7 linked regions of the Callithrix jacchus genome follow. The protein of the gene in region 3 interacts with the protein of the main gene of each other region in a pairwise test. Links are inferred from orthologs where the notes say so. Each region holds a gene or a part of one and is shown on either strand. Other genes may lie near its edges. The genes, in order: PTDSS1, SLC29A1, CREB3, P4HA2, STX7, NDUFB6 and LAT.

What was found.
Region 1: the proteins of CREB3 (region 3) and PTDSS1 interact in a two-hybrid assay, tested with the Homo sapiens proteins (2 studies listed by BioGRID and IntAct). The two-hybrid records come from large-scale screens. The link is inferred for Callithrix jacchus from reciprocal best matches to the Homo sapiens genes CREB3 and PTDSS1.
Region 2: the proteins of CREB3 (region 3) and SLC29A1 interact in a two-hybrid assay, tested with the Homo sapiens proteins (2 studies listed by BioGRID and IntAct). The two-hybrid records come from large-scale screens. The link is inferred for Callithrix jacchus from reciprocal best matches to the Homo sapiens genes CREB3 and SLC29A1.
Region 4: the proteins of CREB3 (region 3) and P4HA2 interact in a two-hybrid assay, tested with the Homo sapiens proteins (2 studies listed by BioGRID and IntAct). The two-hybrid records come from large-scale screens. The link is inferred for Callithrix jacchus from reciprocal best matches to the Homo sapiens genes CREB3 and P4HA2.
Region 5: the proteins of CREB3 (region 3) and STX7 interact in a two-hybrid assay, tested with the Homo sapiens proteins (2 studies listed by BioGRID and IntAct). The two-hybrid records come from large-scale screens. The link is inferred for Callithrix jacchus from reciprocal best matches to the Homo sapiens genes CREB3 and STX7.
Region 6: the proteins of CREB3 (region 3) and NDUFB6 interact in a two-hybrid assay, tested with the Homo sapiens proteins (2 studies listed by BioGRID and IntAct). The two-hybrid records come from large-scale screens. The link is inferred for Callithrix jacchus from reciprocal best matches to the Homo sapiens genes CREB3 and NDUFB6.
Region 7: the proteins of CREB3 (region 3) and LAT interact in a two-hybrid assay, tested with the Homo sapiens proteins (2 studies listed by BioGRID and IntAct). The two-hybrid records come from large-scale screens. The link is inferred for Callithrix jacchus from reciprocal best matches to the Homo sapiens genes CREB3 and LAT.

The regions. Positions count from the first base shown.
Region 1 is NC_133517.1:30,976,032-30,980,498, forward strand, and holds the start of PTDSS1 (phosphatidylserine synthase 1), read right to left. Parts: upstream 3,105-4,467; 5' UTR 2,992-3,104; coding exon 2,813-2,991; intron 1-2,812. UniProt on the Homo sapiens protein: Catalyzes a base-exchange reaction in which the polar head group of phosphatidylethanolamine (PE) or phosphatidylcholine (PC) is replaced by L-serine. Catalyzes mainly the conversion of phosphatidylcholine.
Region 2 is NC_133505.1:52,687,762-52,692,490, reverse strand, and holds the start of SLC29A1 (equilibrative nucleoside transporter 1), read right to left. Parts: upstream 3,138-4,729; 5' UTR 3,136-3,137; coding exon 3,063-3,135; exon of another isoform or gene 2,981-3,062; coding exon of another isoform or gene 2,765-2,980; intron 1,125-2,764; coding exon 883-1,124; intron 35-882; exon of another isoform or gene 5-34; intron 1-4. UniProt on the Homo sapiens protein: Uniporter involved in the facilitative transport of nucleosides and nucleobases, and contributes to maintaining their cellular homeostasis. Functions as a Na(+)-independent transporter.
Region 3 is NC_133502.1:142,640,930-142,643,388, reverse strand, and holds the end of CREB3 (cyclic AMP-responsive element-binding protein 3), read right to left. Parts: intron 2,455-2,459; coding exon 2,386-2,454; intron 1,688-2,385; coding exon 1,603-1,687; intron 1,506-1,602; coding exon 1,421-1,505; intron 1,336-1,420; coding exon 1,001-1,335; 3' UTR 857-1,000; downstream 1-856. Other genes in the region: GBA2 (non-lysosomal glucosylceramidase), read left to right, coding at 277-543. UniProt on the Homo sapiens protein: Endoplasmic reticulum (ER)-bound sequence-specific transcription factor that directly binds DNA and activates transcription. Plays a role in the unfolded protein response (UPR), promoting cell survival versus ER stress-induced apoptotic cell death.
Region 4 is NC_133503.1:76,233,668-76,238,116, forward strand, and holds the start of P4HA2 (prolyl 4-hydroxylase subunit alpha-2), read left to right. Parts: upstream 1-1,280; 5' UTR 1,281-1,338; exon of another isoform or gene 1,339-1,563; intron 1,564-1,877; exon of another isoform or gene 1,878-1,880; 5' UTR 1,881-2,018; exon of another isoform or gene 2,019-2,164; intron 2,165-4,449. UniProt on the Homo sapiens protein: Catalyzes the post-translational formation of 4-hydroxyproline in -Xaa-Pro-Gly- sequences in collagens and other proteins.
Region 5 is NC_133505.1:139,117,824-139,121,756, forward strand, and holds part of STX7 (syntaxin-7), read right to left. Parts: intron 2,933-3,933; coding exon 2,839-2,932; intron 2,161-2,838; coding exon 2,023-2,160; intron 907-2,022; coding exon 854-906; intron 339-853; coding exon 242-338; intron 1-241. UniProt on the Homo sapiens protein: May be involved in protein trafficking from the plasma membrane to the early endosome (EE) as well as in homotypic fusion of endocytic organelles. Mediates the endocytic trafficking from early endosomes to late endosomes and lysosomes.
Region 6 is NC_133502.1:139,755,340-139,760,024, forward strand, and holds the start of NDUFB6 (NADH dehydrogenase [ubiquinone] 1 beta subcomplex subunit 6), read right to left. Parts: upstream 2,914-4,685; 5' UTR 2,794-2,913; coding exon 2,614-2,793; intron 791-2,613; coding exon 698-790; intron 1-697.
Region 7 is NC_133513.1:28,976,312-28,980,804, forward strand, and holds the start of LAT (linker for activation of T-cells family member 1), read right to left. Parts: upstream 3,180-4,493; 5' UTR 2,903-3,179; coding exon 2,803-2,902; intron 2,611-2,802; coding exon 2,583-2,610; intron 2,481-2,582; coding exon 2,446-2,480; intron 2,200-2,445; coding exon 2,118-2,199; intron 1,980-2,117; coding exon 1,792-1,979; coding exon of another isoform or gene 1,705-1,791; coding exon 1,641-1,704; intron 1,563-1,640; coding exon 1,468-1,562; intron 1-1,467. Other genes in the region: SPNS1 (protein spinster homolog 1), read right to left, coding at 3,658-4,128. UniProt on the Homo sapiens protein: Required for TCR (T-cell antigen receptor)- and pre-TCR-mediated signaling, both in mature T-cells and during their development.

The sequences.
Region 1 (4,467 bases), on a different chromosome or scaffold from region 3:
TTCTTTTTTATTATTATTATTTTTTTTTGAGACGGAGTTTCACACTTGTCACCCAGGCTGGAGTACAGTGGCACGATCCCGGCTCACTGCAATCTCCACCTCCCAGGTTCAGGTAATTCTCCTGCCTCAGCCTCTTGAGTAGCTGAGACTACAGGCATAAGCCACGATGCCCGGCTAATTTTTGTATTTTTAGTAGAGACAGAGTTTCACCATCTTGGCCAAGATGTTCTCGATCTGATCTTGTGATCCACCCGCCTCAGCCTCCCAAAGTGCTGGGATTACAGGCATGAGCCACCGTGCCTGGCAGAATGTGACTTTCTATATAAGAAGAGAGAAAGAGAAATCTATTTTGAAAGGACCTAGAATAATATTAAAGATGAAAGGCTGAAACAAATGGCTCATTCTTGCTTCTCATTATTTAAAATAAAATACTACAATTATTTTTCTAATTTCCAAAGAAACTCCCTCACTAATTTCATTATTTCAAACCCACACATAAGATGAAGCTAAACTGAAGCTAATATGAAACAGGTATTATGTTATCTACTGTCTATTTCTCTAATGCTTTTATCCTTCTTCTCAATTACTGAGGATACTCATTCAATAACAAATATAACTTAGAAGACACTAGCATACAATGAAATCACATCATAATAACAACTAATGCTTATTAAGCACCTAATACTTGCCATGCACTGAGCTAAACACAGATTATCTAAAAAGATGAATTTAATCCTCATGACAGATAATCCTGACAGATTAATATATTGATATTTTCATATTACATACTGATAAGGAAACTGATGCCTAGCAAAATTATGTGGTCACACAGCTACTAAGTGATAAAATCACAACATAATGAATTATTTGAAAGTGACCATAGTAGCGACATGACTGATTTCTCTCCAAAGCTAGAAATACGTCTGGTTAGGTACTGTAGAAAGGTCTGGTCTTATCCTGTTGCACAACCTTAGCAGATTTTATAGTAATAGTGGCAAGATCCCTCAATCATTAAAAAGTAATTGTTACTTAAGCTTTATATCTTTAGGTAGATTCTTTCAAATGGATAAACACTTACATAACAAGAACCAAGAGTCAAGTGAATCCTGGAGGTAAGGAACAAGTGTGATGTGGGAGGATATTAGTTTTATGAGGATTTGAAAAACTGCAGTTATTCCCAAGGGAGGCACAACCGCACTCGTGTGTGTACATAAACGACTGTGTAGGAGGCAATTTACTTGATGTTGTACAGCGCTGTCACATACGTCACAACACATTTAGTATCCTTTAACTGCTCCTCCTTCCAAATACTAGAAGTTCTCTCAATCCTTATGATTACCCAATATATATATCCCTACACATTTTCTGCTGACCCTGACAGAGAACCTTGATTGTTAGATAAAAATACTGGGAGAGAAGTAACTGACAGGAATTGTACATTGTGCACCAGGGACTCTCCTAAATGCATTCGCACACATTCATTTAATCTTCATAACCCTGTATGAGGTAAGTACATATTTCATCACCATTTTACAAGAGTGGCCTCTGAGGCTCAGGGCAAGCTTATGCAACTTAACCAAGGACACACAGCCAGTTTTGAAACCAACAGTGTGGCTCAAAAACTACACTACTCTAACTTGGCCTTTTAAGCCACAATGGCGAGGGAGGTGTGACTTTCCTTTCTTTAAAGAGGTTCATTCAGAAAGTACAAATTCTTCCAAGTAGGAACCACGGTGTGTACCCCCTTAAGAACAAGGGATAAATTCGTTCCCTGGGTTAGGGATGAGGGGCCACAAGTGCAGTGCCATAGAGTTACATGAGGTGTGTTCAAGAATTGGGCTGGGCAGCTCCTATGAATAGGTATATGTTAGAATGTATGTGTATGTTTTCAGGGGAATAAGAGAGTTGTGTTATGCTGTGTGAGGTTTAAGTGTTTCATTTAACACACAGCAGTTACTATATACCAGGCACCATTAAAATAGCTGGACAAGATCACATTTCAGCATGTATGTTAGGTAATGAGTGAGTAGGGTATGTATTGCGTGATGTGTGCCGCCGGCTGCTGTCTGTGCAGCTACGCACACAGAAGGTTATGGGTATTGGGCTGTGCTGGAAGGGAAAGGTCCGCTGTGATGTGTGTGTTTAGAGTGGCAGTTTGTTCTGTGGTACAGATGGTAGTGTTTGAGGCTGGGGGGAGGATTATGCTGGATTACTTGTGTGCAATGCAGATGGGAAGTGCTGCACAGGAAAGACGGTGTATGTAGCGCACATGTGGATTTTGTGTGCATTACGGATCATGCCGAATACTGGAGTTCCACAGGAAAGGATCTAGGTTGTGTCCTGGGCCTATGTATGGTGCGTACAGGCGCTGTGGATTGGGGTGCTTCATGTGTGTAGCAGTGTGTGCTAAAAGTGGTTCATACAAGATGATTCACGCGGTGTGCTGGGTACGGACGGGGGCTGGAGCGGTGCAGAGGTGGGCCCCGCGTCGTGATGTTGTGTGGAGCGATGCTGAGTGTGGTGGGTGGGGATGGGGGGGGGCGATCGTGCTAAGTGACTCGCGTGCGTTCCCTGTGTAACCGGAGGCGCTGTATGGAGAAGCAGCATTGAGGGGTGGGGGAGCAGGCTACCTTGCTGTGAGACACCGGGCGGGCGGAGGGCCTGCGTGGGCGGCGGGCTGCCAGTGCGTGTGCGTGGAGCAGCCAGCCGGCTTCCTCACCCAGAGCCATGCCGGGCCATCCTCCCTGCCACCCTCCCTCCCGCCTCTTCCCTCGCCCTTGGACGCGCCCCCTGCACCGCCCGGCCGCCCCACCTGGTAAAGGCGAAGTACATGAGGCTGACGATGGTGAAGCTGAGCAGGGTGATGGTGTGAGGCCGGTAGAAGAAGTCAATGGTGATGTCCTCCACTTGCTGCTCGTTGATCATCCGGAAATGCATTTTGTAGTTCACATCATCCTTGCTCAGGGTCCGACTCCCTACGCAGGACGCCATGGCCCGCTTCCCCGTCCTGCCGCGGTGGCGGCGGCCCCAGCCCGCGGAGGCCGGGACCCCGGGGGTGACGAGCCACAGTAGGAGAATCGCCGGACTGCGAAGCCGGGTCTGGCGCCCAGCAAAGGCTGGGAGCTAAGGAAAGGACAGGCGCGAGAGGGCGGGGTCGCGGCGCCGCCACCGCGGCCTGGGACAGGGGGCGCCGCTGACCGTCCCCACGCTGTTGTCCCGGCTGAGGCATCTCTATGCACTTGAGCAGCCTTCAGACTTGAAGTCCACAGGGCTCCAGGAGAGGGGCGTGCCGGAGAGGGGCAGCAGGGCCCCGTAGCTGACTTTTTCTCGCGCACGCAGCCCGCTGTCTCCCCGCGCAGCCCGACACATGGTCTCGCCCACTCCGGCCGCAGCCCACGTGGGCCGGGGAGCGCCGCTGCGCTGGGCCTGGCTGGCGGCGGAGCGGGCGGGCGGCGCCGCGGGACAGCGCGCGGCGAGTCGGTCGGTCCCCGGGGCACCCGCTACGGGGCGCAGGCCTCCCCACAGGTAAAGCAGGAGCTGCCCCAGCGCGAGGATGGCGCTCCTGGCAGGGGTTCAGGTCCCGATGCACCTGCGTCCAGGCCGCGCCCCAGGGCCTTTAGGTTTTCGCGGCCCAGTCTTGGGTGATTGGTTTGGTTTTGTGTTTTTCCCCGGCTGATGTAATGAAAACTCAACCATGCTTGCTGATTAGCGCTGTGTGAGAATCTTCTGGAGGGGGCTCTGCCTTCCTGCGGAAGTTGGGTTTGGGGAACTGAAATGGGCTGAAATGGCCTAGGGAAGTATTGAGAGACCCTTTATGCGGAAGCTACCCCCATAACTTCCCTTTCTTTCCTGATTTCATTTATAACCTTTCATAGGTAGAAATCTTGAACCCTCGAAAAACTATTTCAGTGTCTTTTTCTAGCAAAGCACTGGGTACATATATATATGAGCTGTATATATCAATTGTTAATAAACTAGAGTTTCTTTAAGGGTTTTCTGTAATTTTCCTGATGAAAGGACCGTGTTAGAAGACTTACGGTTACCTCACAGGGCTTTTATACACATCTGCACATGCCTTACCCGCTTTTGCATACTGTGTAAGAAAGTGAGTTAACTGTACTTGCTGTTGATTTCTTTCCATTCCGTAAGCATTAAAGCAGTTCAGGGCTCTGGGACAGTGGAGAATAGTCCCTGCAAGGGTGGCTCCCAAGATGAGACACCCAGCCCTTCTCTTGTGAGTGAACAATTAATCAGTTAAAATGTGTAAACCACAGTGAAATGGTGTGGAGAGGATAGTGCACTTGTAAATAAAAATGCAAAGATAAACAGTTGTATGCACAAAGATCTTTTAATGACTGGATAAAATTTGAAAGTGAATCTTCCTGATGTTTAAGGGGTGTTGAGTGTGGAAAGGCTTCAGGGTGAATTTGGGATTTCAGGAGTTTGAAGTAGGATGAAGTGCTTAAA
Region 2 (4,729 bases), on a different chromosome or scaffold from region 3:
CTACCTGGCTCCCAGCCTGGCCGCTGCCACCGCTATTTTTATCCAGCAGGCGAAGCAGTTTATAAGCTGGGAAACAGGAGGGTGGAGAGCAGGAGGGAAGGAGGAGGAAGGATGATGGGAGGGAGGGAAAGACAGTCAAAGAAGGCAGGCAAGAGGACGAGAAGGGTCAGGGACAGTGATGACAAAGGAAGGAGGGAAAGGAATGGAGGAGACACAGCAAAGAGGTTGGGGGAAGAGGAAGGACACAGCAGGCAGAGCTGCAGCAGCCACAACAGTGACGATGACTGAGGCCAAGCCAGAGGCTCCCCAGATCCCTCTCCGCAAGTCTGGTCTCTCCACCCTCCCTGGGAGGCCTTGGATTCATGGTTAGAGTGGGGCTGTCCTCTCCTAGAGGCACCCCAGATTCCAGCCTCTCTGCTGGTGGCACCTTAATCTTCCTTTCCAGCCACTGCCCAGGGGCTTCCTAGTTGCTGGCTGGTTTTCCAGGAAAATATTTCATAATGGATGTGGGGGAACAGCCCTTCCCACAGCCTAGCCAGGCCCCTCTCCATCCTCCAAGTCCTGACCCCAGGGTCACCTAGTACCCCCTTAGTTCCTCTCGGTCACAGGCTCCTGTCCTCTTACCCTTGCTCAAAGTGACTTTGAAAATAAGAGTAGAGGGGCAAATCCCAAATCTCCTATCCTCCCTCAGTTTCCCTCTCCTGCTCCTCATTTGTGTAGGGGGAGACCCCCTGGCACCAGATTAACCAGCTTTCCCATTGGCTGGCATGCGAAGCCAGGCAGATGTGTGCTGGCACATCCCCCACACTCAGGCCCAGCTGGCCCAGGCCTTGCTGTTTTGGGTAAGGACAGCTTCCCCTTCCTCCCTTTCTGGGAACTCACCAGGTGCCCAGACTGGCCAGCAGAAGGGTTGGAGAAGATTGGGCCTGGGAAGTCCCTAGAAGGTGCTCCTAGTTTAGGATCAGGCAGTGGGCCTTGTCCACGGGCTCCTGGGTGCAGATCCAGAATGAAAAAGGTGGCACAGGGCGTATCAGGAGAGAATCCCTCAGGCTTCATGGGGCCCCATTCTGAGAAGCCTTGCAAGCAAAGAAGCAGAAGCACACCCAGGAGATAAAAAGCCACCCCTGTAGCTCAGGAGATAAGAGAACAGGGAGTCTCAGCAGGGGAGCTCTCGTAGGTGCAGCCATGCTCCAGGCTCCACTCAGACAAACAGGCAGCTGGGCACCCTGAAACCCTCATGGGCTTTCCCACCTCCCCATAGCTCCTCTCAACCCTCCCTGGAGAAACTCCAAGTTCTCAGAGGTCTTCCTTGGCCCCTTGGCCCACACACCTCCAGATGGAGGCAGAAGGATTCCTCCAATCACCACTTCAAAAATATTTACTGAGGACCTCTGCATGCCAGCCAGGCACTGTCCTAGGCACCAGAGTGGTGAATAACCACATTTAAATTTTCTAGAGGGATGGAGGCAAGAGGTCTTTACTTGGGTGGGGGCGGGGAAAGGCTCAGGGCTCAGGTTTTCTATTAGGTAGGAGGGACCCTTCCTCTAGGTGCTTACCTCATACCCGCATGCCCTGTACTCCGCTCCCACCCCACAGGCAAGGTTCCTGGCAGTTAAGACCGGGTGCAGCTTCAAACCAGATGGGGGACTGGGGTGGGGGATCAGCTCCCTTTCTCCTGGGTAAAACTGGCTCAGGCCAGTTTTCTTAGAGAAGTATGTATTTCTGCCCTCTCCCCAGCAACATCCCTGCTCTCTCTGTTCTCAGGAGCCCTCATCCCAGTCTTGGGCACAATTCAACTCCACGGGGAGCCCTCTCCTCCTACCCATATCCTAACATTCAGCTGGCCAGCTCTCGTGTTTTGCTTGTCTGCCTTTGGTCAGCGGCAACCAGGGATCTGACACCAGCTCAGAGCATCTGGTGTCCCTCCAGCCATGCTTTGGCCTGCTGAGGTGAAAGCAGCCACCAAACTGAGTACCTCCCTGCCCCAGACTCCCAACACCTCTCCTGCAGTTCTCCATTCCCAGGATCTCATACAGGTCCAGCCACTACCTGCAGATCTCTCATCTTTCCCTCACAACCAAGCATGAGCCAGTAGTAGCACTAAACAGATGGGGCCAGCTGAGGTTCAGAGAGGTTGAGTCACTTGCCTGAGGTCACAGAGCTCAAGAGTGGAGGAGCTAGGATCTAAATTCAACGTTCAAGTTACTCTAGGCTCTTTTGGGGATGGATAGAGAGGTATAACAGCTGCTTCTTAGCTAGGCCTGCAGACTGGGAGGTGGGGGGAACTCTGATCCAACTAAAGAGAAAAATGAGGTGGAGATCAGGCTTATTCCCAGCCCGACTTGAGTGTGGGCACCTCAGCCTCATCCCATCACATGCATTCTGGCATGGGGAGCTTACACAAGCAGAAGGAAAGTTGGAGGGTCTGGAGAGGAGTAGGCTGCCAAGAGGAGCAGGCAAAGGGACTACTGGGCTGGAGAGAGATCTCTAGAGGTGTGAGGGCAGGGTTGGAGCCAGCCTTGACCTATGAGTGCTCTCTCCTGTAAGGAAAGCCGAGGTGTGTGTGTCTTCGCCCTCTTATTTACTCTCACAGTAAATCAGTAAATGAGGCCGCGCCCAGGAAGGAGACGCCAGGGACACGAGTTTGGCCAGTAAAAGCCCGGGGTTAAAGACACAGCCCCGCATCTCAGCTCGCGAGCCTCCAACCCCATCCCCATCCCCCTCCGCCAGCTCAGTCAGCAGGCAGCCCCTCCCTGATACCGACCAGATCGCTCGGGTTCACCGGTCCACTCGCCTGCCCCGTGCGGAGGTCACCATGACGGCAGACTGTTTTAGGCCCAGGTGACAGGCCACCCAGCCCCGCTTGGGTCCCGGTCCCCGCAGGGTCCTCCGGCTCCCCAGCCCGTGCGCGCCACGTGCTGCGCGGCTCCGCACGCTCCACCCTGGGGCCCCACCGGCGTCCCTCATAAGGGCCGCGCATAACGCCTGGCCTCCCGGCCCTCGTGGCAGGCAAGCAGCGGCATCACGCCCCTGCCGTCCCCAGTCCCCGCCCCGGGCAGCACCTGCCGGAGAAGCACGGCTCCCGCGCTGAGATCTGCGCTCTCCCTGCAGCTTCCCGCGCCCGCCAGGGCACATTCAAACCCGCCCTCCCCTGGGCCCGCCCCAACCCGCGCCTACCGCCACCTCCGCGACAGCCGCGCGCCCGCGGCCCCGCCCCCTGTCCTTCCCTGCCACCCCGCGGCGCCTCCTCGCCCTCTGCGACCCCACCCCGAGCCCCTGCGCCCCCAGGGCCGCGTGGTCGTGTTATTTCAGTAAATAGGACCTCTCTGGGCCCTGCCATACCAAGGCTGTCCATCGTATGGGGTACATGGGGCTGGAGGGTACAGCCCCACATTGGGGACCTGCACAAACTCCCATGAAAATCTATCTCAAGACTGTTCCATCTACACACCCGCTGCTCAGACCGGCTCCGAAGCCCCCCTTGGCCCACTCCACCTCAGATGTTCCGCTATCCCTCCCCGAGCCCCGCCCACGCCGCGCTTCCTCCACACTGCACCTTTTTCCTCCCAGCGCGCTCCCTTTAACTCCCCCTTCTTTCTTTCAGGCCCCCTCCTCTTCTTTTCCTTCAAAACTGCTTCTGTCCCCACCTCCTCTGTTCTGTGACCAGCATGATGGGTTTTCCCATCCCTGACACATCCAGTCCCAGCCACAGACGTGCAAACACCACACCACCCACAACTTTGACTTGGAGGGGGTGTATGGCTCTGCCTCGTGCTAGTGTTTGCGCGGAGGGGGGCGGGGCACAGCCCTGCAGCCCCCTCATAATTCACCCCTTCTTAATCCAGCACTTTGGAAAACCGAGGCACAGCTGGAGATGGGAAGAGAGAAAGCCAGGAACAGCCTTACATCCTGAGTGAATTCTATTGTCCCAGTCGGAGATACTCCTGAGAGGCAGGAGCGTTGCTGAGTCCGTGCTTCGCTAGTATGTGGAAGGGGTGGGTATGCTGAGAGGTGGTCCAGTGCATTTCTCCAAGGGAGGGGGAAGGAGGCCCTTTTTCTTGGTTGGGCAGTAAATGGCATGGGGTGGGGGGCACTCCCTGCCCTTCCAGCACCACCCAGTGCTGGAGGATGATCCAAAGGCTGGAAAGGTCCTGAGGAGAAAATCCAACCCACGCTGTCCACCCCAAGCCCACTGACAGGAAGGGCTTGTTTCCTAGAGAAGCCACAGACACTGATTAACAACTAGCAGTACTCACATCATAAGGATAAGGTAGTCCTACGCTGTCCCCAGAGAAACAGGACCCTAAGGAGAGAGGTAGCTTTTCTACTTAGGGTCAGTGGCTCTCCCCAAGCTACTCCAGAATGGGTGTCCCCAGCCTTCTGTTTCCATGCCCCACAGAGATGACACATATTCCTTCCCAACCCTCCCTTACATCCTCCCATTCCCGCCAGCCCTAACCAGAGGGCAGGAAGATGAGTCTCAGTGGTATTTTTCTAGGCACTGCCGCATGACTTGAGAGTGGCTTCATGTCTGTCCATGGCCCCCAAATTCCCACCCTCATGTTTGTCCAGTCTCTCTCTCTTCCTCTCCTAGCCCTCCTCTCCCCTCTGCTTTGACCCGTTCCTCCCTCCCCACCTTCCTTTCCTGGTTTCTGAGTCTGTGGGGGTGGTAGGCCTAGTGGTCAGAAGATCTGCTAGGCATGACCAGGCTGGGGGCCAGTGGCTGCAA
Region 3 (2,459 bases):
TCCACCATCTATATCCTGGCCCAGAAAACTTCCTCAGCCACCACATTTCTTCAAGATATAACCCAATGCCATCTTATCCATCCATAAAGCCTCCCATTTTTCCCTGGTATGCATTCCAGCTCCTGCCTTCAGGCTTCTGTCTGTGGGTCATAGTTATTTCCCCCACTTGCTGGGAGCTCCCTGAAGGCAAAGACTCTACTGTCTCCATCTATCTAGTGGAAGTGGCTATTCAGAGGATGCCAAGTTAGTATGTATAACTGTCATCTCTCCCAACAGGGCCTGACTTGGGAGGGCTTCCAGACAGCTGAAGGCTGCTACCGTACCGTGTGGGAGCGCCTGGGTCTGGCCTTCCAGACACCAGAGGCATACTGCCAGCAGCGAGTGTTCCGCTCACTGGCCTACATGCGGCCACTGAGCATCTGGGCCATGCAGCTAGCCCTGCAACAGCAGCAGCACAAAAAGGCCTCCAGGCCAAAAGTCAAACAGGACACAGGACTAAGGACAGGGCCTATGTTTGGACCAAAGGAGGCCATGCAAACCTGAGCCCAGAGTGAGCCCTCTGAACTGTGGGAGGGAAGCACTAACATCCCAGCCTCCAGCCTGGCCTTTCCTCCTTCCCTTCTGAACCTCCTGCAGCCCTGAGCCATCAGGACAATCATACCCTTTCCCTTCTCCCCACCCAACTGTGCCAGTAAATGGGGGTTGGGGGTAACCCAGGCAGCATTGGAATCACTTATTTATTTATTTCCTCACCCCTTCCCTCACTGTGTGAAATGTTCAGCGAGGTCAGTTGATTTCCCCAGGTACATTCATGGGGTGACAGACACATGGCTACAAATAATAAAAGACCCAGAAAGCCAGTAAATGTGGTGTATTTGAGCCCTCAGTCTTTCTGACAGGGCACAGAATCTGCAGCCAGCCCTCGCCCACCCATTTTTATTCAGACACAGATGGGGAGCCCACCAAGCTCTTGCTGAGACCCCTCCACATATCCTTGTATCTAGCCTGAGTATCTGTCCTGCAGGATGACAGAGGGGCTATAGGTAGAAAGCCTTACCCCCTTTCTTGTGAGATTTGCCTGCAGAAGGAGGATGGGATCTCGGCAGAGAGGCTCTGAGAAGAGGTCAGGGAATAGCCACTCCAGGGGACGCTCTGCCCTGAGAGCCTGAGACATGTAGTGTAGCAGGCAGGAAGAGTTGCCAGGGACCTGGAGTACATGGTCTGAGCCGTCCAGCCACTGGTGTGTGCTGTCTTTCAGCACCTCTGACTGCAGGGTAGACAGCTCCAGCTGGTAAGGGTCCTCACTGGGGAGGGCACGAAGCTGGCGGAACAACACTGAGGAGACAAAGGAGACAATCTTCAGAGGCCAACCCAGGCTCTCCCCTTGCCCATGCCTGAGAGCTATCCTTAAGCCTCTTACCTCCATGCTCAGCTGGCAGGCTCTCTCTTGTGTCAGAGGAGTACATAGCAGGTACAAGGAGGAGGCAGAAGGAGAATAGCAGGACCTAGAGCACAGGAAAAAGGAGATGAAGAAGGGCTCTGGACTGCACTGCTGTCCCTACCAACTAAGCAAAGGATTTCTCCCCTCATCACCATCCTCACCAAGACACAGGTGCTGCTGCTACTGGTTTTGTTTGATATCGCAATCACCATGGCCTGGAGTTTCCTCAGTTGATCTAGAAGGGACCTAGAGGAAAAGGGGGGCCAGTGGTGAGCATCCTCTGGCCTGGCACCCTAAGACACAATGAAATTCCTATTCAGGACACCTCCATCTCTGCACTGGATCCTCTCTCTTATTTTCATTCTATTTTTGCAAATGACTTCTTCCTCTCTGTGGACAAAGTGCCTGAAGTTCCTCGTTAAAACAAAACAAACAACAAAAAACAAAAAAACTTCTCTGCCCTGACTTAACCTCCTTTGCAAATATCATCAGTAGTTCCCCATTGTCTGATCAGCTATGCATATAATCCTCACCAGGCATTCTCTGTGTTCTCTACTTTCTGGCCCAGCTCACCTGTGTTAAGAGTTCTAGCCCAAGAGGACTATGTTGTATTCTCTCTGCCTAGAATGCTTTCCCATGGATTCCCAACTCCAGAATCCTAACTACTATCAAAGTCCATGAGGTCTTTCTTACCCTCTTTCTCTTTCTTGGTACTTATTCTTAGTTACTTATAAATGTATTCCCCCCTACTGTATTCTTAGTTACTTGTAAATGTATTCCCCACTACTATGAGCTTCTTGGAATCAGAGACCTAGTGAAGGCCAGGCACCAGACCTAGCATTTGAGAGCTGCCCAGTTAGAAATCAAGTGTAAGGCAAGGGAAAAAAAGTGAGAAGGCATTAAATGAGGGGCACAAGAAGGCAGTGGTTTGGAGGGAATCTTACAAATTCTGTTCCTCCAGAAGCTGTACTTTGTTCTGAAGCTCCATATTCTGGGCTGTGTATTTCAAGACCCTGGG
Region 4 (4,449 bases), on a different chromosome or scaffold from region 3:
GGCAAGCTCCTGAGAAGGGTGAGATAGAAGGAAGCTTGTGTGGATGTAGCAGATGCAGGAGGGTTTCTGTGTGGTTTTAGCCCGGCTCAGGCCAGTGGCTGACACAGGCCGAAACGGAGGCTTATTCGTGTTTTATATGTATTTCCGAGTGTGTGCTCCTTTCCCCAGGTCTGGGCCGCCTGCCTGGCCCATGTGCCATAGGGAATATCCAAACTGGGCCCGGGCGGAGGCTGGGCATCTCACGCTCTGGGCTTGTTCCCTGAGAATCTCTGATGAGATTCTCAGACCTTGTTTCCCCTCATTCATGAGAGGAAGGTTCACAGAGCAGGCGTGGGAACCTGCCTGGCCGCCAGGGCCTCCTCCCACTCAGGCTGAGGTTTGCTGCATCTCTTCTTATTCTCTTTCAGACTGGACTGGCTGAACCAGGTGTCCATTCTTTTTGACCCATGGCATAAAGAAAAGTTTGGGCAACCCAGTGCACCCCCGGATTGTTACCGCCCCCCCCCCCACCCCTGCCAGCCTTTGATGGGCCTCCTTATCAATCCATCATCCCTGTACATTATACCAGGACTGCCTGAACCGGATCCCGGGACTCTGAACCCTTCTGGGAGCTCGACCCTGAGGATGGGCCACCCAGTCTTGGTCTCCAGGGTGTGGGCCCCAGGTCCCTAGTCTTCCTCAGCGTCTTCTCCACTGGTCCGCCTCCTCCCTCTAATACCCAGTTCCTAGCCCGGTGACCCCAGTCTCCTGTTACAGCCTCTGTGGTGGTGCCGGGAAGGGGCCCGTGTTCCCGGCAGGGCACCCCAAGCAATGGGCCTGAGCGGAGGCAGGGAAATCCCTCAGCCTCCAGGGGACGCTCTCCTCACAGCCCCGGCGCGGGGATCGGGTCGTGGCGACCTCACCAGGCGCCCGGGGGCTGGGAAGGAGGGCGGGCCAAGGCCCGCAGGTGGGGGCGCACCAAAGCCAGGCGGGCGCGGACTACGTGCGGTGGGCGGCAGGCGGCATGAAGGGTGCAGGCGGCCAGCTCCAGCTCCGGCTCCGGCTCCGGCTCCGGCTCCCACGCTGGTTCCCGCTCCCGCTTCGGCTCCCACTCCTACGCGGTCGGGTAGCCTGGGCGTACCCAAGGGTCGCAGAGGACAGCGACCCCCGCCAGGGCCCTCGGAGCTCGGAGCCAGGACGCAGGCGGGCGTGAGGAGCGTGAGGTTAGGACCAGGCTGCGGCTCAAGTGGGCGGAGCCCCGGCCGCGGCGGGAGGCGGAGCGGCCGAGGGAGGAGGTGCCTAGTGGACTGGGCGACGCCGCGGGAGGTTCTGGAAACGCCGGGAGCTGCGAGTGTTCAGGTGAGCGCGCCGCCGGCTCAGCCGCCAGATCTGCCCCGGGGCTGGGGCGTGGGCAGGGGTCGCTGGACCGTGCGTTCTGCCCGCGCGGGGCTGAAAGTTAGGGGCCGGGGCCTGGGGTCGCGCCGCTAGCAACCCGCAGCGCAGTCCGGGCCGCAGCCCCGCGCCCTCAGCCGTCTGGGTTCCTGTCCCGCTGCCCTCACGCCTTCCCGAACTCAGTGTGGTGAGGTCAGCCGCCGCCCTTCGTGCCGTCCGCTCGGCTGTCGGGCGGGGCTGGGAACTTGGTGGTCCTTCCTTGTCGGGCTCCCGGGAAGCGGCGTCCTGACCCCCGGCTGCCCGCTGTTGGGAGCGGGGGCGCTGCGTTAGCCTGGCCCTGAGGGGCCGGTTCTTGTTGGCAAGGCCCGCTCTGCTCCCTCGCAGGGGCTGGGAGTCCGAGGTCTTGTCTGGGCAGGGTCCAGCTTGGAGCCCATTAGATGGGCATTGGATCAGAAGGACTTTTCTCATCCAGACATCCCTGTGGAACCTGCGTTGTTTTTCCTTGGCAGCCGCAGAGACCCGTGAAAATTCGTTAACTAGTTCAACAAACGGGACCCTTCTGTGTGCCGGAAACCGCAAGCAGTTGCTAACCGTGGGACAGGCGGACTGGAAAAGCTAGTGGGAAGGTCCGGGCCCAGAGCAGTGTGGTGAGCGCTGTGCTTGAAGGGAATAAGGGCTCTGGGTATTTGGTAGAGGACTGGATGCCTCCGGCCAGGGGACTTCCTGGAGGAGGTGACCCATGAGCTCAGAAGAAGGCTGGCAAAAGGGCAGCGTGGACAGAGGAACAGCCTATGTGAGTGGGAGCAGAGACCTTGGCCGATGTCATGCTTTATGGCATTGTAGTGGAAGCAAGGTGATGGGGAAGGGACACTGTAGGGGCTAGCTGTCCATGGATGCTATCCACAAGACCCTGGAGTGAGAAGACAGTGGTGCCTGGTACTGTGCCCTGCATATGTAAAATGCCCAGTTGACCCTTGCATCATGAGTCTGGATCAGGGCATTTCCTGCTTCAGGTATTGCTGGGCAGCCCAGGTGGGTCCCTGGCCTTTGTATTCTATTTGACCCTTTAAGATGGTGTAGGAGAGCAATGGAATCCCTCCCAAGACTGAGATTGTTGTCTTTTACTGTAGAGTGACACCTGAGATTTGTGCTTCTTGATATAGACCATCTGGGGCCTCACAGCCCCAGCCCTCTTGTAGGAGATCCTGGTCCTAAGAGCAAGGGTTGGAGGACATTACTGTGTAGCTTGGGGCATTATTAAATGTCCCAGACTTTGCAGAGATCCATTGTTCACCTAAGAATTTATAGGATGTTTTCGGGATTTGCTGCTTGTTCTCAGCCTATATCTCATCTGACATAACAGGTTCCATAATTTAGTCTCTGTTAAATAAACCAGGATTTCCTTTGGCTAATACTTAAACTGCCCCTGAAGTGTCCAAGGTGCAGCCTCTCACTGTGGTTCAGGGCCTCAGGGCCCAGTCTGTCTGCTTCTCCCCACTCACAGAATATTTGGTCTTTGAATTCTTTTTTTTAAAGGCCTCTTTACTCTTACACAGCCAAGTGTCCACTATGTGGCCCAGCCAGTGAAGCCACGTAGCAAGGATGGAGTAAGTTGGCTGGGGCCTCATCCCAAAGATGCTGTCATAGTGGATCACCCTGCTTCTCCGAGAGCTCAGTAGGTAGACCCAGTGACTTTTAAGCTGAGGCATTGTCTGTGGCATGTGATAGGCCCTTGTATCCTGTAGAAAGCTCTGCATTGGGGTACTCTAGACAGTGCTTACTTAGTCACCTATTTAGACTTCCCCCAGCCGATCTCAGTTTATCCCTTGAGTGCCTTCTGCCTGTTTGGCTTCTGACTAGAGTGTGCCTAGGGCTGGAATGAGGGAGGAGAGAGAGGAGGTGGCTGAGGCACTATTCTTGCCTGTGGGTAGCTCATACTCTGAGATTGCTGCTTCATACTGGCAGCTGGCCATGTGCCAGGGGAGGAGCCTGGCTGTGCTAATCAAAGGAAGAGACTGTGTGGGTGTAGCTCTGAGAAATGAGTCAGGTGAGAGAATCTAGGGTCTCCTCATTTCCTAAGAAGGCCTCCCTTTTTCACTCTGCCTTCCCACATCCTTGGGAGGGTCTGAGGCTAGAGGCAAGGCCTTGGCTGATTTGTGGCCACGCTGGCTGATAGTGTGCAGAGGGCTGGGGGTGTGTCCCTGGCTCCTGGTATCTGTCAAGAGTTTACTATTATGCAGATGTACGTTGGCAGGAAAAGATGTGAGGCAAGCACGTGCAAGTCCAGCAGAGTGCTGGAGTGAGAGTTAAACTTTGGAAAAGTTGCTCACATCTAGCAGTTTGGACATTGGACATTCCCTAGGGTAAGACATCAGCCTGTCCTAGAGCAAAGAGGACTGGAAGGTCCTGTGGTCTGTAGGCTTTGTGCTAGGGACATGGAATGAGGGAGAGAAAGACAGTTGTTTTTTTTCTTTATTTTCCCTCAGAGCAGAGAATGAAAAGTCTGCATGATATACTGGAGCCCTAGAAGAGAGGTCTTGTTCTGTGGCGTCAGAACTCTTAACCTGAAGGGCAGAGGATTAAGTGTTTGGGTAGAGTGCTCTCTAGCTCAGATGGAATCTGTCTGAGCCTGGAAACAGGCCAGCATCTGCTTTGGGCCTTTCAGGAACTGCTTGCTTAGAGTATGGCCTGTTTTGTACCTGGAACTCTGAGGGCCAGGGTGTAGTGGAGATCCTCAAGCCTGGGTACTTGTCGGAGCCTGGAATAAGCAGGTCAGAGGCATATAAGTGCATGAGATCCTAGAGTATTGATCTAATCCCCTGCCTTTTGCTAGAGAACGTTCCTTGATGAGCTTTAGAGCCAGTGATTGACCAGTTCCAGGGTTATCAGTATATTTACATTATACCTGACTCCAGTCTCTCCTGAATTAAATGTTTGATCTCTTGAGGTGCTTCTGGGATGTGGATGTCACCCAATTTCTGCCTTGTTTGCATCTATACTGTCTCCTAGTCTGGATCTTCTTTCTCACCCAGGAATCAGCTAATTTGGGCTAGGCAGCTGGCTGCCTTAGGTCCACTG
Region 5 (3,933 bases), on a different chromosome or scaffold from region 3:
AGGGTGGCATGTGCCTGTAATCCCAGCTCCTTAGGAAACTGAGGCACAAAAATTGCTTGAATCTGGGAGGCAGAGGTTGCAGTGAGCTGAGATTATGCCACTGCACTCCAGACTGGGCCACAGAGGGAGCTGCCTAAAAAAAAAATTCTTTCTCATGCCTTCGCCCAGCATTATCCAAGCATCTTGATAAGAAACTGACTAAGAACAGAGCAGCAGCCCAAGGCTATAATGTAAGGCTTACTTCAAGTTGCCTGATAGAAGACTCTCTTTCATGAATAAGGCGGAGGTCATCCTCTGTAATTTCTTCATCCTGCACCTGCACTTGAGGTTGAGTTTGGCTAACAGAAAAAAATGAATGTGGAAAAAAACAAAGATTGGTTGGTATTCAAAACAATGAGACTCATTTCCTATTTAAGATATATTCATTAAATAGGAGATTTTATTTTTCCAAGTCACAGAACTTCTCACTTAAAAAATTCTAAGACTATAATAATCAAATTTTACTCATTTTTCATTTCACTTATATCATTTTATCTAATATGAGTTTAGTGTTATTACTTAATCATTGGAAGTTATATTGGGCAACTGGGTATTTCTTCTCACCTGACTTAAACCTCATATAAGGGAATGTGTCTATTAAGTCCATAAATATTTATTTGGAAAATTTTATATATAATAAATACTTTATAATTAGTGAATTTGTTTTTCAAACTTACTCTCTGTTTTCAATGTATAAAAAACTTAAGGTATTTATGATATAATATACTGAAAGTTTTAATTCTGTTCTAGGGACCTTAATGTATAAACTTTGAAAAATTACCTTTTGATCTGTAAAATATTTTCTATTTCTTACCTTTCCCAGGATACAAGATTCCTTTCTTTTGAGCTGTCCTCAGGAAAACCGCCCTGAATAATTTAGTAACAGGATGGAATGAGAAGGGGCAAAGAGAGGAAAAATAAGAAAAAATAAACAACACTCATATTTTCCCTTATGATAATCTAAACTGATTTACATATACGTGCACGCGCGTGTGTGTATGTGTGTGTGTGTGTTTGTGTACAGAGAGAGAAAGACATTCTTGTTTTAATTTTTCAGGTCAACTGTTTCAAGTAATAATATAATTATAAGTAATTTTATATTCTAAGTAGACAAGAAAGGAATTGACTAAATATTCTAAAGTGTTAGAATACTAAATATTCTCAAGTATTACTTGGTTAAAGCTTAATGCAGTCTTGGAATCCGTATGTTAAGGAATAAGAAAACAACTCATGATACTTTATAAGGGAATTTAAAATTAGATTAATTCAAAATTCTACTGAAAAGTTTCATTTATTTTCTCCAGGCTCATGTTCATTTTCAATATTCATACAACATACTTGCACCATTCATCTTTGTCATCTTGGTGTAATCCAGGAGGAAAGTGCTTTCTATATTAGTGTGTACACAAGCAGAAAGCCTCAGTGCCAAGACAATATGAGAATACTAATGAGGACTTGATCCCTAATCTTTTCTGACAAATTATGTCTCTAAATTTTTACATAATCTATAATATTCTATAAAATGACACAGAAAAAATAACCATAGTAATACATAATTATCATCCTTCTCTAAAAATGGAGAAGAAAAGCATAAAAATAAATATTCAAGTGCTGATTTCCAAGATATTCACAGATCGTATGCTACTACTGACTTTCATGGGCCCCTTAGAAAGTAATCATGTTTGGGAGGCTGAGGCAGGTGGATCACGAGGTCAATAGATCGAGACCATCCTGGTCAACATGGTGAAACCCCGTCTCTACTAAAAATACAAAAAATTAGCTGGGCATGGTGGTGCGTGCCTGTAATCCCAGCTACTCAGGAGGCTGAGGCAGGAGAATTGCCTGAACCCAGGAGGCGGAGGTTGTGGTGAGCCGAGACCGCGCCATTGCACTCCAGCCTGGGTAACAAGAGCGAAACTCCGTCTCAAAAAAAAAAAAAAAAGTAATCATGTTTATTTCTAGAATGTCTCTCTAAATACTTACAGACACTCTGGAACTGGCTCTTACTCGAGCAACAAACTCTTTCTCTCGCTCAGCAGCCTGCCTCTGGACCTTCTGGAAGTTTGTCAGTGATGTTGTGAACTCTGCCACTAAGCGATCTTTCTGTATTTTCCTTTGACGCTAGGGGTAAGAGAAAAAACAAGGCCAAGTAGAATCAAGCTGTGAAGTTCAACAGAATTTGGTAGCTGTTTTATCATTAGCTGGCTCTTTATCTAATCCTGAAGTTTTCACTTACTCCCCAATTACCAGGCCTTACGGATTAACTCTCAATAACATTCTGACAGTATGTCAAACACTGTACATATTTAACTTGAGGCAAAAGACCCATTGTGCTGGATTTGTCACCTCAAGTTTTCACGCTGCTAAACACTAGCTCATGATTTTGAGCCTATTTTAAGCAATTCCTTTTTAGACAAATAAAGCCTTATGCTTTTAGCTAAGTAATAACTTCCATTGCATAAGCAGGGAAATAAATATGTTCCCCCAGGACACCTCACATGCTGAATGAGTCTGCACGTTGCATGAAGTCAGACCTGGGAGGCCAGGAAATAATTACTCAGGAAGCATTTTCTGAGAACTTACTTAATTACGGGTCAGGGCAAATGCATGGAAATAATTTTTGCTTTATTGAACCACAGGATACTACCTGAGCAATTAAATATAGTTTTGTGTTCTGTGAACTAATGTCAAGCAGAATTATTTTTGATTTCCTTTTTAGCATAAGAGTTCAAAGATCCTACAATGCATTTGATTTTTTTCACATTCAATACATCAACAATGGGTCTTAAAGCTTCATACCTGTTCACTGGGGGTGGTGGGCAGAGATCCAAACTCTTTAATGTACTTGTCTGTTTCTTTGGCAAGCTGGTTAGTATACTGCTGCTTCTGTTGCCTGAAGTGAGAAAACACACATTATGGCCAAAGGATTAATATACTTCTTTAAGCTGCAACTCTGCCATTTAAATCAACACTGACAAATAGTTGTATAAAAATTGCCTTTGCATAAACTGGCTCTGAACTTCGTAAAAAAAAATTCATGTCCTTTTCTTTGATAAATATTGAGCAAATATTGTATGTCAGGTTCTTCACTCACACAGGTTAGCTGAGCTTAGAGAAATAAAAATCAATGACCATTTAGAAACAGATGAATCAAGTCAGAGGAAACTTGAAAAGGAGACTGTTGGACGTCTGATCCTTTAAGTTTGAGATATTGGGGATGTGGGAGCCTTTTATCCACATCTCACACCTGGAAGGTGAGGTGAGCAAGAAAAGATTTGTTGCCTTAGACTGTACCTCATTCCCAGATCTTAGTTATATCTGGCCTCTCCTATTTCTCTATATGACCATGTATATGCTATAGATACTTAAAAAAAAAAAAAAAAAAGGCCCAAGCTTGCCGGTTCATGTCTGTCACCCCAACACTCTGAGAGGCTGAGGTGGGCAGATCGTCGTAGGCCAGGAGTTTGAGACCAGCCTGTCCAACATGGCAAAACCTTATCTCTACCAAAAACAACAAAAATTAGCCAGGTACAGTGGTGCACATCTGTAATCCCAGCTACTTAGGAGGCTGAGGCAGGAGAATCACTTGAACATGGGAGGCGGAGGTTGCAGTGAGCTGAGATCACACCACTGTACTTCAGCCTGAGCAACAGAGGGAAACTGTCTCAAACAAACAAATAAACAAAAAGAAAAGAGGCAATATTGAAGCAAGTTTACAATTATTTAAGTTTGTGGTGGAAAAAATAATAGCATTTCCTTGTAAAGGGAAAGAACACAATAAATAAAAGAAGTAAATCACAGTCATTCCTTGGTATCTGCAGGGGATTGGTTCCAGGACCCCTGTGGATACCAAAATCCGTTGATGCTCAAGTCCCTGACATAAAAAAAAGGTGT
Region 6 (4,685 bases), about 2.9 Mb from region 3:
CCCCTGCAACCCACTCAGGATCTAACACCCCTCATTTGGTATATGAATGCCCTCCTCACTCTTTTGTGCTCCAACATTCCATGCTACACAGCCACCACTGCTCACTCTGCCATGCCACTTCCCAAAATGCATGCCCTTCTCATTCTGCGTGGGATCCAACATCCTGCACCAGACTGAGCCTTTAAAAACCACAACTGGCTCAGCTGAATCAGCCCATACAAGATCTATTATCAGTGAAAAAGTTCAGGCATCTGGACATCCTGAGTTCTAAATAAATAAAGTTGTGAAGAATCAGATAAAATGAAGGAAACAGAAATGGGATGGACAAAGATAAGCTTTGTCTATTTTGAATTTTTATCTCATACCAGATATAGGTTGTTATAAAGGAGCAGAAATTCTTTTCTCCCTTCCTATTCATGACCTGAATTTACCCTAATATTATTAGGTCACTACATCCTGATCTTTTAAATACTATTCCTATGAGAAATCCATTTCAAGTTGTAAACTAATACAGTGACACAATTTTTGAAAAACTATTTTCAATTACTTGTTTCATTAAATCTCTTCCCTAAGGGAATTCAAAGTAGATCAAAATCAGTTTACAAGTGACAGATTATTTCCACTAAGCAGAGTAAGATACCCACAAAGAAAATAATTTTGGACAATATTGAAAATAAATTCTGAAAGGAATACTTACAGCCACATGATATTTCACGTAATAATGAACAATCCAGGCAGGAATAAGTACACAAGTAAAAATAAACATACTCTTTCGGTATACCTTATAGACCTGGGGGGGAAAAAAACACATACACAAACTAAACATATCCCATATTTTATATTTATGGCAGAACAAAAAGCATCAATGATGTAACAATGTCATTATTATTTTACAAATCTCTAAATGGTACCTATTTTCTTATAGTCTGTGGCTAACTTCATCTACTTAAATATTATTAGTAAATGCAGAGTTTTTCAGAAGATACCTACAAAATCCAAACCAAAAAGCTTAAGATAAGTAGTATTTTGCAAGACTATAGCAAGGCATTTATAGATTTTTTTAAAGACTTCTAAAACTAACTTTATCATAAGTTTGTTAAATATAAAATATAGCAAAATAATAAAAGAATAATTTTAATGTATTTAACTAGAGAAATCAAACCTACAGAATATTTCAGGTATAGTCATCTCTCTGATTTAGCTATCAATGCCACTCACATTATTTTAGGTATAAGGCAGACAACCTTGACATCAATGCTGGAAAAAGGACATTTTACATACTGAGATGGGGTGCCTCGAGCTCACTCCAAAATGCCTTCTGCAACGTTATTTAAAGAAAAAACAAACTAAAAATGGAACTCTCCCATGTCCTCCAATTTGATTAAAACACACCTATCCATTCAAGGAAGGGGTAATCCAGAGTCTAAGAATTATAACCGATATGATTATAAAGTAACAAATTAACTCAAAGTAAGGTAAGGTGAATTTCAACACATGATTATTTATTTACTTCCTTAGATCACTCGCTGATGGATGGGACTTCAGCTTTAAATCGGTGACTGACAATATCCTGATAATGTCTGGGATACAAAGGGTGGGAGAAGAGTTGAATTTTACCACCATAAATAAGTATCCAATACCACTTTTTCAGAAAAATTTTCAACAATTCTGTTGCACTAGAATTTGTAGCACAGTAAGAAATAGATACATGTTGATTTCAATATGAACTCCTTCAATTCCTAGCTCCCTGACCACCGGCAAATCACTGGATCTTTGTAGGTCTCAGTTTCCTCACATTTAAAGTGAGGATTAGGAATAGTTTCTACCTTACAGGAATAAAGAAATGAAGTAACACATGTAAAACCCTCAGTAGAGTGCCAAGCACACAGCAAGCACCCAAGTGTTACTATTATTACTACTATTATCAGTAAGCTTTGCAGGTAACTGAAAGCAATTCTGAGATGTGTTTATCACCCATAACAGACCTCAAGAAAATACCCAGAGGCCTTGAAAATAAAGCTTCTGAATGAGTGATTTTCTTCAAAGACCCAAATGTCATTTTTCAATGAAACACTGTGTTAAAAGTACAGTGTGGTAGTTTATAAATGTAGCTCTTCAACGTAGCTCACTAGGCATACCAACAAGACCCTGTCTTTTATGTTGATCACATGGAGCTGTACTACCAGCAAGCGGCTAGTTGTGCCCTCTGGTAGTTGGATGCTGTGTTACCTGGTCTCTAGAACCTCACACTTAAAAGTTAGACAAGTGTCCTCAAATAGTAAAATCACAGAATTTTAATTGCAGCCAGTCCTTGACTATTAATTCTGGGAAAAGATTTCTACAGTCAAGAAAATCAAACGTGCAGCGTCCTGGAAAACCTAAGTATTAAGATTCGCCTCCGTCTCACTGTACTTGATGGTAAAAGGCATGATTCTCTCAAAGCCATACATATTCCTGGACTCCTGCCTCCCGAGACTCCAGGAGGACTCTCGGGACAGGCCAGTGTCACCAATCACGGAACGTTATCAGTGGGGCTACAGGGAGCGTACGTCCAGTGTCCAGGCTACCGGCCGCGGTGGGATGCGTTGGGAAGGATCACCACTCACCACTCACCATGTTCCTCCAAGGGGACTTATTTGCCAAAAACTTATCCCAGAATCTGTCCATAGGCCACGTCGCCTCTGGGGGCAGCACCGGCTCCCGAGGGCTCAGCTCCTGGTCCTTTAGCCATTGCCTTCTCAGCGCTCGCAGCTGCTGCTGCCGCAGTTTCTCATCCGGAGTGTACCCCGACATGTCGCCGCTGGTATTAAGGCAAAAGGACACAGAGCGCCCTCAAACTAGGGCCTCCTTACTTAAGCGCTCTCCAGCTCTGCAAAGCGACCTTGAGGGCACCGCTGGGGGCAGCGCGCGGTTATTACGTCACATCCTGGTCCTGCCTTTGCAGGGGGCCCAGATTCCTCGCGAGAAGAGCCGTGTCCTGGCATGCGCAAAGCTTTCCACCTCCAATTTCCTCTCCGGCTACCTCCGCTTTACCCGCCTGGATTACGAGCCTGTGGGGACGCAGACTACTCTTAGTTGTGGGGTCTGGGAAAAGTGGCAATATTAGACGAAAGTATGCTAAATAAGAGGACTGTAGGTTTTGTTCAGGAAGAATTTGTATGCTGGGAGCAGGAAGGATAAGCATATGTGTTTCAGTGAATATGCTGGCCAGATACAAAATTGTTCGCTTGCCTCTCCCACCTTGGAATGACCTAGAGAGTGTATGAAAATAGTTTCATCCAAGTTCAAATCCCAGCTGTGCCGGTAACTGCTAAAGTGCCCCTGGGCAGCTGTCTCATCTGTCCCTCCATTTGTACAGCAACAGTGTAAAGAGTAGCTTAATATCTAGCAACAATGCATAGATGCGTTCATGCTTTCACCCAAAACTATATGTGGTGAAAATATCAAAGGGCATGCACGATTAGTCAACACGATTCATAATAGCAAAATATTGGAAATTACCCCCAAATTCCTAAATAAAGGACTGCTTGAATAAAGTACAACAGTCAAAAGACATCATTACAATGTATTAGTTTAAAGATCTGAATTGACTCATTTGTGATTCTAGAATCAGAAAACACTTCATTCTATAGAGTAGAATGAGTGTTCTGATCAGCTGAGCAGCCACGGTCGGTTTATTGGCAAAAGGGCTGAAGAAAGCAGAAACAGAACAAAAAGTGGATTCATTGTTTCAAAGTTACTTTTAGGGTTAAAGCAGAAGGGACTTCCTTATTTCACTGACTCAGGTTTAGAGGAATTTCCTGGTTTTGGAAAACTGGCCTATTTCAAAGTTCTGTTTGATTATGTGGTACTTAGCACAAACGACTCCATTCTGGTTTGGTCTGGTCTGGTCTGCTCTGCTGGGGCCTAAGTGCATGAAGCTAGTATGGAGTACATGTGCAGATCTTGCAGGATTGTTGCATAGGTACACACATGCCATGGTGGTCTGCTGCCTCCATCCCTTCCCCCCCCACACACCTACATTAGGCATTTCTCCCAATGTTATCCCTCCCCAGCCTCCCCACCTCCAACTACCCCTTCCCTAGCCCCTCCACCCCCAACAGACCCCAGTGTGTAGTGTTCCCCTCCCCGTGTCCATGTATTCTCATTGTTCAACACCCACCTATGAGTGAGAACATGCATTGTTTGGTTTTCTGTTCTTGTGTCAGTTTGCTGAGAATGATGGTTTCCAGATTCATCCATGTCCCTACAAAGGACATGAACTCGAGGATGAGATTTTATAAGGGTAAAATAAAAAGGGCAAATAGTCAATCCTCTTTATCTGTGGGTTCCACAATTACATATTCAGCCAACCACAGACAGAAACTATTCAGGAAAAAAAAAAAAAGTGGTATGAATTTTAAACAATACAGCATAACAACTATTGACAGAGCATTGACATTGTATTAGGTATTATAAGTAATTGTAACTGAAACACAGGTTTAGTTACTCAACACTTGCAGAGTTCAGTTAACAAGAGAGAAATCTGGTATAAAGAAAGTGACTATATTCCAAAGCTAGCTTAGGGGGAGAGGTATGGGCTTCCAGCCTCAAAGATACTGCTTCACTTTTGGAGCAGAAAGTGAGTACTTTCGAAAGACAGGAGAAAGCAAACAGGTGGGAAGTCCACATGCTAGCTTGGCACC
Region 7 (4,493 bases), on a different chromosome or scaffold from region 3:
TAGCCTCCAGAGTAGCTGGGATTACACGTGCACGCCACCATCCCTAGCTAATTTTTTGTATTTTTGTAGAGAGTAGGTTTCACCATATTGGCCAAACTGGTCTCAAACTCCTGACCTTGTGATCCACCTGCCTCAGCCTCCCAAAGTGTTGGGATTACAGGCATAAGCCACCACACCCAGCCTCTTTCTTTTGTTTTGTTTGTTTTTTTTTTTAAAAAAACAAGGTCTCACTCTGTTGCCCAGGCTGGAGCGCAGTGGCACAATCTCAGCTCACTGCAACTTCTGCCTTCTGGGCTCAGGTGATCCGCACACCTCAGCCTCCTGAACAGCTGGGACTACAGGCATGTGCCACCAGGCTTGGCTAATTTTTTTTATTTTTTGTGGAGATAAGGCTTTGCCATATTGCTCAGGCTACTCTTGAATTCCTGGACTCAAGCAATCCTCCCTCCTCGGCCTCCCAAAGTGCTGGGATTACAGGAGTGAGCCACCACACCCAGCCAGCTATTTTATCAGAACAGTCTGCCCCCTGAACTGTTACATTCATAGCATTAGCCCAGTAGAGGGCACCGCAGTAAACTCTGAAGGAATGAATGAATAAATGAATGAATGAATGAAGTACTTGGAGAGTCTGGAGTTCAGAAGAGAGCAAACTAGGAATCTGGATGGCAAACAAGGCCAGGGTGTAGAATTGATAGCCCAGGACAAGTATATACAGAGAGAGCAAAGCAACAGAAAACTAAAGAACGCTGGACATTGAGGAAAGCCCAGAGGATATGACCAGGCAGGATGAGACCAGAAGGAAGGAAGAAAAACAGCTCAAAGGAAACCGGGCAGTGCAGGGAGCAGAAGAAAACACACACACACACACACACACACACACACACATACACACACACACACACACACACACACCAGCTTCTAATTAATATCCTTAGAGATGTATAAGATGGTATTGCCTCCATGAAACAAGAACAGGAGGCTATAAAAAAAGAACAGTCAGAAAACAAGAAAGAGTTTCTGGACAGGATAAATGAAATTGCAGTGGAAGGGTTGAAGAATAAAGTCAAGGAAATCTCCCAGATGATATAAGGAAAGGACAGTAAGGTAGGAAAGAGGAGAGAGAAAGTTAAGAAAATCAGAAGAACAGGCCTGGACACGGTGGCTCATGCCTGTAATCCCAGCACTTTGGGAGGCTGAGATGGGAGGATCACTTGAGCCCAGGAGTTCAAGGCCAGCCTGAGCAACATACCGAGACCCTGTCTCTACAAAAAATTGTTTTAAATAAGCTAGGTGTGGTGGTATGCGCCTGTGGTCTCAGCCACTTGGGAGGCTGAGGCTGACCGAGTAGCCTACTTGGGAGAATCACTGGAGCCCAGAAGTTCGAGGCTGCAGCAAACTACGATGGCATCACTGCACTCCAGCCTGTCCCTAAAATAATTAAAAAATAAAAACAAATGCCCGACTCACTGGAGAAGGCGCTGTCTCGAAGGCCAGAAGTGCTGAGCGCAGGAGCTGGTGGGGCGGCAGTGCTAGCAGCCGGGGCACTGTCGGGAAGCACCACCCTGAAAGGAAGTGAAACGGGCTGGTGAGCTCAGGCCCAGCCTGAGCCCCCACCTCCCACCTCCCACCTGGCCACTCACAGGTAGCCCGGGTTGTGATAGTCATCCTCATCCTCATCCTCATCCGCATCCTCACAGGCTGGTTCTGGGGGTAACAACACAGGGGTCAGCCTAGCCCAGGACAGGCCCCAGCCTCCCCCCACAGCCCGGGCACCTCGGATCCCAGACGCACCCTCGTTCTCATAGCTCGGCACGCTGTTGGCTTCAGAGACAGGGAGAGAGGGAGACTGAGTCAGCTCAGGCCAGGACGATCTTCTTCCCGGCCCCAGCCTCCTCGGCCCTTCCCCACACTTACCACCATCTGAGTCCCGCCGGGAAGATGGCATCCGGTGGGAGCCCCCGGGGGGCTGTGGGGATCTTCTGGGAGTCAAAGGTCAGGGGTCATGGCTGAGGTGGGGCTCAGGGGGCAATGGCAGTTGCAAAAGGGAAAGGGGCTACCAATCCAAGAAAGTGAGGGGGTGGAGGGGCGTTTGGAGGGGTAGGGGAGCAGCTACTCACGGGATGGGAAGCAGGTCTGGCTGGCTCAGGGGTGGGTAGGAGGTGACAGGTGGGTAGGTGGGCGGCCTGGGGGCGAGTGTGTCTGAGGACACAGAACCAAGTTGAAAGAAGGACTCCAGACATCGTCAAGGCCTCAAAGAACAGACTAAGCTCCTGAAACCGGTGCACCTTGGACAGGCCTGGGGGTGCCATCTCCCCTCTCCCAGCTCAGGTCAAGGCCATGTGGGCAGCCCCAGGGTGGCAGGGGCTGAGGGAAGGTTCACACACACTCCTACACCAGGGGACCCTCTCCCCGACACTGGAGGTAGGGGACCCTCAATGTACTCACAAGGTCGTTTGATCTGGATGCCCCTTGGATACAAACTGGTAAAAAAGACACAGCTTGGGGCTGGGGCTGGGAGAGGCCCCAGTCCTGCCCCACCGTGGGGAGTGGAGGGAGACCCAGGGCAGCCAGGGCAGACTCACCTATCTGAGGAGGTGCTGTCATAGGAGCCTGGGAAAGAGAGGGCTGCTAAGGCAGGAACACGGGGTGCTGAGGGCAGAAGGTGTGGGGAGTCCAGGGGCTCTCAGAGACACTGGGATTGGAACGGAGGCAGGGCCAGAGCCAGGACAGACGCAGGGGCTGGGAGTGGTGAGGATACCGTCACTGTGCCCAGGCCCCAGGCACCCCACCATTCCCACTCACCTGGCAGCCTGTGACAGTGGACACACAGCGCCATCAAAACGGCCAGGATGGGCAGCAGCAGGAGGCCCAGCACGCAGGGGACCAGGATGGTCTCCTCCATCTGCAGGGGAGCTCGGAGCAGGCCGGCTTACCCCACAGGCCCCTCAAGGGCAGAGCCAAGGCCAGGCAAGGACAGGGTGAGGACCAGGTGAGGACTGGGTGAAGATCGGACCAAGCAGGGGGCAGGTAGGCAGCAGGTGGCGTGGGAGCCCAGGAGGAGGCGGCAGTTCCCTCCCCGGGGCTCCCTGGATGGGTCCCCTCTTTTTCTGGGCTGAGTGGGCGTCCAGCTGGCTGTGGGAAGTCTCTGCTCCCCGGGTGGTCAGACCAGGGCCCAGACTGAAGTTGGGGGACCCAGCCACCCGTGTCCCAGCCCTACCCGCCCCTCCTCAGCGCCCGCCTCTCCCTGTGCCTGCCCACCCGCCTGCCTGCGGCAGGAAGCTGTGGTGAGCACCAGGCGAGGGCAGGAAATCATCGAGCTCTCAGTCGGCTGTACCCGCCCCCTTCCCACTCCACCCTGCCACTGGGGAGGGGGCAGGAGGAGGCCCGGGAGCCACCCCAGGCTCTCACCAGGGGTCTTTGGGCCCCCAGGAATGGGACAGCCACCTGCTGGCTGGCAGCCACGGCCTCCACATCCAGGGCCTGGGGAGGCAGCAAGCGGGGAGGCCCTGACAGCAGGAATTCTGGGGTGCAGAAGGCAGTGCCCACCCCCACCTCAGCCAGTCCTGAGAGGCAAGGGGCAGGCTCCGGGGAAGCAGGGGCGTGACTCACAGTCACACCAAGCCAGCTCACACAGAGGACAGCAGTCTCCGCTCTCAGTCACCCAGACCAGAAGGGCAGAGACTCACTCAGAGCCCCAAGGGGTGACCCACAGTCTTCAGGAGCCCTGGGGTGAAGACGGGACGCAAGATCAGAGGTCACCCAGAGAAAGACAAGAGCAGGCACCTGGGGTCTGGCTACAAATTTTATTCCATAACAAATAGCACCGAGCCCCTGGGGCTGCCCCTGTGGAGGGGGATCCCCTTCCTGTACCCCCACCTCCTCCCCTGAGCTGCCCATGTAGTGTCTGGGAGCTGGGATACGGCCCAGGGTCCCTCTGGAAGCTGGGTCAGGCCAAGGGGTTAGGCCCAGGCCCCTTGTGGGGTGGACCCAGGGCCAGCTGCGGCAGATGTGCAGGCAGGCAAGCGGCGGCCTCTCAGATGAGCACGCTGGCCACAGGCACCCGGGTGGAGCGGCCCCGCTGGGGCACCACGATCCGGTCATCTGTGGGCCCTGCCTCGCGCAGCAAGCCTGCAGAGGGAGGGTCAGAGCCAGGGTGAACCGGATGGACAGACAAAGCCAAAGAAGGGCAAACAGGCAGCGGGAAATGGATGGGGCAGTCACAGAGCTGCCCAAGGGGTAGACGCAGACACGAGGAGAAAACTGTGGACTGAGCCACCAGGTGCACAGAAGTGGGCAGACAGATGGACGGACAGACAGGCAGATCAAGAAGCTGGGCAGAGGACAGCCCCTAACTGACCCTGCATGTGCAGCTGCGCCCGCCGGCGGTCGCCCTCAATGAAGATGGCGGTGCCCAGGAAGGCCGCGCCGCCCAGCGCCCCGACAAACGCACAGAGCATGAGCGAGAACTGCAGAGCCCGGAACTCGGACAAGAA